Solanum lycopersicum: one gene and its partner. The main gene of each other region encodes a partner of the protein of the gene in region 2 in a complex. Links are inferred from orthologs where the notes say so. Each region holds a gene or a part of one and is shown on either strand. Other genes may lie near its edges.

The links.
Region 1: large ribosomal subunit protein bL21c (region 2) and large ribosomal subunit protein bL9c share a complex: the UniProt entries of both Arabidopsis thaliana proteins name them as parts of the 50S ribosomal subunit. The link is inferred for Solanum lycopersicum from reciprocal best matches to the Arabidopsis thaliana genes RPL21C and RPL9.

What each region holds. Positions count from the first base shown.
Region 1 is NC_090810.1:57,591,755-57,595,511, forward strand, and holds the start of large ribosomal subunit protein bL9c, read right to left. Parts: upstream 2,576-3,757; 5' UTR 2,431-2,575; coding exon 2,293-2,430; intron 2,178-2,292; coding exon 2,050-2,177; intron 507-2,049; coding exon 461-506; intron 325-460; coding exon 227-324; intron 152-226; coding exon 104-151; intron 1-103. UniProt on the Arabidopsis thaliana protein: Binds to the 23S rRNA.
Region 2 is NC_090805.1:43,262,023-43,265,751, forward strand, and holds the start of large ribosomal subunit protein bL21c, read left to right. Parts: upstream 1-868; 5' UTR 869-991; coding exon 992-1,285; intron 1,286-2,740; coding exon 2,741-2,821; intron 2,822-3,211; coding exon 3,212-3,313; intron 3,314-3,405; coding exon 3,406-3,480; intron 3,481-3,729. UniProt on the Arabidopsis thaliana protein: This protein binds to 23S ribosomal RNA in the presence of protein L20.

The DNA.
Region 1 (3,757 bases), on a different chromosome or scaffold from region 2:
TATGAAGGACAATATACTTTAACAGTCTTCAATGAACATATAGTAGTAATTAGTTCGCATACTACTATTTACATGCTATGGCAGAAAGATTGGAAAATGGTACCTCTGTATCTGTGCTTTTATAATATCAACGAGATCCTGAGCAGTGACACTGCAAGAGAGATGACGTCAAAAGGTAGATCAAATATTCACCAAGTTGCTCATCACAATTTAGTATTTCACTGACCTTCCAAATATTTGCTTTCCTTTCCCACCCTTACGCTTCACCTTGAAGGCTCCAATAGTTTCAAAAATTCGAGCAAGCTGTTGTGCCTCATCTTTCACCTGAAATCAAAAACGTTTAACTAAAACCACATTCATTATGAAACTCTTTTAGACTTTTAGTGACTTGAAAATAAAAAAAAAATGTATATATTTTTCAACTTTCAATAGATTAGATTAATCAGAATAATCTAATTACCCGTTGTTTTTCAGCCTCAATTTTCTCGTCTTCCATCTTCATTTCCCTGAGTAAAAAGTACATAATGTTATAAAATAAAAATGCATCCATGAAGTTAGTTAATTCTCACTGATGGCGAAGCACGCTAATAGCTATCAAAAATATCAAACCAAAATTGCTTCTAACAACCATCTCTAACGAAGCCTTCACCTATTTGTTTTGTTCTTTAGTATGAAATAGCAAATCCCTTATATATAAGACTTTTACAGGACTATCACACCATTAATGTTAACAGCTGGTTAGGCCTATTGCTCACCCAAAAGCTAAAGACAAAGTCACTAAGTAGTAGGAAATCTAAAGTTTTATATCCAACCATTATCCATCTTATGCATTGTGGGACATTGTATTGAAGACGAATCCGTTATCAATAAATTATATTTGGTTAAAAGAAGCGAATTTACTTAAACCTATAATCATTAATCATACGAAGCACTATTTCAGGGAACAAAAGCCATACAGAGTTTGTGTACTGACCAAGAGTTATAACACCAAAGCCATACAGAGTTTCTGCTCAAGGAGTATCGAAAATGATTATTCTGGTACGACCTTTGCACGAAGATATGTATAATCCATGGGTCCGTCCACTTTTCAGCTAGTTACAATTAGTTTAAAGGATCCCATAGACTAAGTATACCTATTTTATCTCCATTCGACATAGGTCCATTGGTTTAGATAAAAGATAAAACAAAACAAGCAATAGTAATAACATACTTCCACTCATCAACAGCCAAGCAAAGTATTGTGTGTGGCATTTTAAATAGTTGAACCAAAGAATCCTGACATTAATTATGAGGCATGAAAATAAGATAACGAACAGAAGAACCAAAGTCTTGAGTTCAATAATAAGGTTAAGTCGATAATTTAACTAGTCATAATGCAGAAACAGACACTTGAACTCGGCATCAACTAGCAAGAAAACACTCAAACTCGGCATCAACTAGCAAGAAAACACTCCAACTTTGAGTATGCACATCTACACCTCAACTCATCTCCACTGTGTCAGTTGAACACTCCAACTTACAAAATGATCATCTAGGCACCAACCAAATATATTTGCCACATCAACATCAGGTGTCCATGACACACTGTGGATTATGCCGTTAAACTATACAGGGTGATTGGAAATGTGAATATTCAACACTTAAAATCAACTAACAGTCTCCAAAAGGAATACTTAAAAATCCATCCAACACAAGCAGAACCAATTTTAACAAACATTAAGGGGGTGTTTTGTAGCTAGTAAAAAAGCAACTTACTCATATATTAACTTAATGTATAAGTAATACAATGTTTGGCAGTTAGTTAGAGAATAAGTTATTCATGTATAAAATCAACACAAAGTTTAATTTGTAATTCAAAAACCTACCTAACTAATATATAATGTATTATCTTATGCAGGTTACAAGACGAAATAACTGATACCTGCGTAACTCTACCAAGCTACCAAACAACCGCGAACTCCACAAAAGTACAGCTAATGAAAGAAGAACCTAAAAGGCAATGAAATCAAATGGCAAAAATCTAGTTCAAAGTAGAGTTAAACGAGTTACTTGATAAGTGCAGCTGTCACAATTTGAGCTTTGCCCAATGGTAGCAAATAATTCCTAAAGAATCCAGCTTTAACATCCAAAAGGTCTCCCTTTTTACCCAACTGTGAAATATCCTCTTTCAGTATTATCTGTTCCATCAAAACAAAAAATACCCAATTCAGCTATTAACCATAAATGGACAAAAAATGAGATTTTGACAATTATAAATCCAACCCATTATCACATTTTCAAGAATTAGCTCACCTTTCGAACTTTCTTGGCTTTTTTCTGAGCAACAATTGTTAAAATTGAAGTTCTTTCTGAAAATTTCACTGTTTCGGAAAATGGGTTTTTGGTTAAGCTGTAATTTTGGAGACAAGAAGATGAACCCCATGACGCCATAGCTAAGTCTTCCTTCTTCTTTTCTTCACTTTTTGCTCCGTTTTTCTGTATTTTTTACAGTTTATAGCGTTATCTTATCTGTAATGGCGAACTGAAGAAGATAATGGATGTCTTAATGGGCCAACAAAACTTATTGGGACAATTCATGTAAAGCCCATTTCTTAGTCCAATTATAATATTTTAGGCTATTTGGGCGAAGGACAGAAATCACATACTTTTAAGGCAAAATTACCATTTGTTTTTTACAAGTATATAATTACAAAAATTTCTCAAATGATACAATAATATATTATTGTATCATTTGATACATTAATCTGATGTGTGAGATACATTAATCATTAAGTACGATACATTACATTTATACATAATACACTAATCTGATGTACACTTTATACAAGATACATTAATCTGATGCGCGATATACATTAATCTGATGCGTGATATATATTAATTTGATGTGCGAGATACATTAATTTGATGTGCTGATACGTTAATTTGATGTGTGAAAATGAGGGATTTTGGAGATTTGTAAAACTAATAGGGGATAATAATAGTAAGAGAACTTAAAAGTGAGATTTCTATCATTTACCCTTACTGAAATACACGTCTTATATTTTCCTTATTTTCATATATCCCCTTTTATTTCTAAAGACCTCTAAAATCCATTATTTCTTTAATGTATCCGAGCTACATATTAATGTATCCGAGCTAGTATTTAATGTATCCGAGTTACATATTATGTATGCGATTTATTTTATAATGTACCCGATCTAGTTTTTAATGTATCTGAACTACATATTATGCATCCGATTTATGCTATAATGCATCTAAGATACTCTTTAATGTATTCGAGTTACATATAAATGTATCCGATTTGTGTTACTTTTTAAGGGATTAATGAAATTACAAACTAAAGAGGGATGAATTATAATTTCATATTAAAATTATGTGATTTCTAAAATTTATCCAAAAAAAACAGCCCAACATAATACTCCATCCGTCTCAATTCATGTGGTGTTGCTTGACTAAGTAGTGGACATTGGACACGAAGTTTAAAAAATATGAAAATACTTTGTATATCTCAAAACTATCCTTAGAAAGAACACAACTTTGTAGACGTTTTGTCGAATAAGTGGGATCCAGTCATCTACAAAATATTGACAGTGTCATTAACTATTTATCAAATAAAGAAATGTATCGTTCTTTTAGAATTGACTAAAAAAAAGTTTGTCATCTAAATCCGGAGGGAGAGTATTTTACATTCACTTAGCCATATTTTTTTCATCAAAGTCATACTTGTAAAAGCGTACTCTTTCTGTCTCTCATA
Region 2 (3,729 bases):
GGGATGTAAACAAACGTTACTCCTACTTTTGCTACTTTATCTTATATAATTTGAGGGTTTTTCCTCTAGTTCATAAATTCTAAAATATTACAGTTGTTTGTACCTGAGAAGTGTTGTAAAAACCTTCTTTATGTCTATATTAATTTGATGTTACTGGAAATTGAGTACCTTTTAAGATCATTTTGTCATATATTAAACACTAAAATAAATTTCAGTCTTCTTTTATTTGTGTAATTTTTTTGATTTATTTTTTTTTCCTTCCAATTTTGCGGGCTTGATTTTTAACATAACAAATGGCATTACTTTTGTTCTTATTTTACTCTTCTTACCACGTATTTGTAATCTTACTTCTACGTTTTAAAGATAGAATAATTATTTTTTAAGAGCCTCAAATTAAATAAAACATATCAAAAATAGTACTAGCACTATGAAAATTAAATATAATGTATATGTAATTGCAAAAAGTAGATGGGAGGCTTTACATAACTAACCTCGAGTCAAAATTAAACAATGATGGCTTCAAGAGTAAATGACCTATTATATAATTTAGAATATTTGTTAATCTCTCCATTTCAAAAAGGATGGTCTAGCTTGCCTTGAAACAGAATTTAAGAAGAAAAAAAAATTTTTTAATCTTGTGATTCTAAATTAAAGTTATGTCAAATGTACCAAAATATCCTTTAATCTTGTGGTCTTAAACATGTCACGTGGAAAGTTCAAGTTAAAATATTATGAAAAAAGGAAATGAGTTTTTTGTTTTGAAACAGACTAAAAAAGGAAATAGAGACGTTCTTTTTGAAACGAAGGGAGTATTATGTTACGAGAATATGTAAATTTATACTATTTCTAATACAATTATTTTTAAAAAAATAAATAAAGGATTTCGGGGTAAAATAGTCATTTGGCTACCACTGCAGATAGGATAGGCTTCAACAGATAAAATTGAGAGAGAGACAGAGAATACCCAAAAAAAACCTCTCACTCTCTAACAATGGCAACCCTTTCCCTGTGTTCTACATCTTCCCCCTCAACAGCACTTTCCAAGAACCAAACTTTTCTTAACACCCTTTCTGTTCCCAAAGCAAATTCCAATGTTACTTTTCTATCTCACTCATTTTCCTCTCTCAATCTCCGTTTCTCCAAGCCCAATTCTTTATCCTCTTTTGTACCCAAATACTCAGAATCTGAAGCTCCAGTAGCTGAAGTTGAAGCTGACCAAGAAGAGCCTGTTGTGGAAGCCACTAGCTTGGAACCAAAACGGGAAGAAATCTTTGCTGTTGTTATGGTGACGACTCACTTCCATTCATGTTTAAATTTGTGTAGACATATCTGTTTGTTTTCAATTTCGAAATCAATGTGAGGGTACAATTTAGATTTTTATTGAAAAAATTATGAGGTCCCAAATGAAAATTTGAAAATTCAGCGGAAAATGTTTCAGTTGTCTGTTACCTTGAATTTTTTTCTCGAAGGAAATAGGAAATTGATCTATTCCCTCTAAGGGAATGTTACTTTGTTGTATAGAGATCACAACTTTGGTTCAAGATTGTCATGTGCTCAACCTTTGATATCACAAAAGCAGTCGGAATTTTAATAAGGGGAATTCAAAATTACTCAGACCTATTATTGAAGCAATTTCTCGAATTAACCTTTGCCACTAGAACGAAAACTTCCTTTATGTCAAACGGATTAGAAGTTCCAAAAATTTGTTTTCATGAAGAATGTTCCACCACACCTCACTCACTTAGTTCATATTTCGTGTTTGCTAGTACTGTTGATACATTACTGCTTCCTATGGTGTATGTGGTGAAAATAGGGAGTGTTACAATGAAATTCTTTCGTTCTGTTATTTATACGTCAATGCCATTCTGTGATGCTTAGGTTTAGCATTCTGTTTTAGGGTGTCTTAAAGGAACAATACACATGTCTATATGTTTGTGTCATATTGACTTGGCAGTGGTGGTGGCTATTGGAAATGTTAAAATAGTCCGTGCTAAATAAGCTGAACTGAACTTTTTATATGCTTAGTATTCTCCAGTAGAGTTGGCTGATGTTAACAGAAAACTATAATTATTATGAAGACATGACGAAGATTTAGTACTTGGTATATCCTTACCTGTGTTCTGGACACCATCCAATTTCAAAAATCTCAGTCTATGTTCTCTTTGGTTTTAGTTTAATTTCGTTTTACAAGTGGGCCATCTATTTTCGGTAGGCGTTTCCTCTAGTTAAGTTGCAAAGGGGTTCATATGGCAGATTAGAAGTAATATAACTAATAAATAACTGATAACTATCATTTAGTTCTAACTTTAGGTGTTATACAGTTGTCAGAGGGAATACATATCTACAAGTCCATGCAAACATTTAAGCAAAAGTCTAGTAATTGTTGAAATTTGATTTTGAGGTTGCCATATTCTACACTTTCATCTTTTATTTAATGTGAATTGTGAACTATTGTATTTAACCGGAGAAAACATTCATGTTTACTACTTATTTGATGAATATTTTTTCTTTTCCATGTGGAAAATACTCACTCTTGCGAGGAGATTATAGCTGCTATTTCAATCTGATCATTATTCCTGCTGCTAACAATTTTCAAGTCCTCTAGGTGTCAAATTTTGTGCTTTATTTTGTTCTTTTTTCTTTTTTTCAGATGAATGTGACACTACCCTAATATAACTCTATGGGGCTTGTCTTTAATACGTTAAGCTGTTTGTTCATTTTTGCTCTTTCGCTTTCATAGGTTGGATCTCGGCAATATATTGTTTTTCCTGGGCGGTATATCTACACCCAGAGGCTTAAAGGTGCAAATGTCAATGACAAAGTGAGCATTTTTGGTCTTAATTTACAATTGATTTCCCAAAATCTGGTTACCTCTCTGTGGCTTTGGCTTTAGTTACGTGAGTTGTTTTTCTTTTTCCTTGTCTCGCTATCTCATATCAACATTGTGGTGTCCAATCAAAAAGAACTTGCTTGCAGCAATTTCTCAATTATGTCAAAAGGCATCAATTTCAACCAATAGTGACATTTGCTTGTCCTATTTCTATTATCTTTAATACATTGTCTTCACCAGTTATTTTCCACGGAAGCTAACACTTGATATAAGGGTTATATGTGTATGTCAAGGTTTTCTTGCCATATTGGCAATACTCTTATTTCAAAATTTCCACAATGAGGATCATTGTTGAAGCATCTATACTTGTTGCTTCTGCAGATTATCCTAAACAAGGTGTTACTTGTGGGAACAAAAACAAGTACTTGGGTTGGAAAACCAGTGGTGCCAAATGCAACAGTCCACGCTGTTGTTGAAGAGCAGGTCAGACATCATTCTTCCTCTGCTGTAGTTTCCACTGAGTATATCTTGTTTACTTGACATATCTGTTGGCTCATTATTACATTTCCATGCAGTTGAAAGATAAGAAGGTTATCGTCTTCAAGTATAAGAAGAAAAAGAACTACAGAAGGAATATTGGTCACAGACAGGTATCAAAGAACTGTTTTTAGTGATATCTGAATAACTATAAAGTAGTTTGAACTTTTTTAACCTATCTGTTTGCCCTTAAAGCAAGGCGCACCGTAGTCTATCATAGTTTTAACTATGTCTGCAAATAATTACCATGCAAACATGAAAACTGTCTAAATCAGTGAGCTTACAGCCATGTATGAGACATGCCCCTTAAAATGATATTTGTGCAGAATATCATAACTTGCCCTTGCTTATGCCAAACTAAT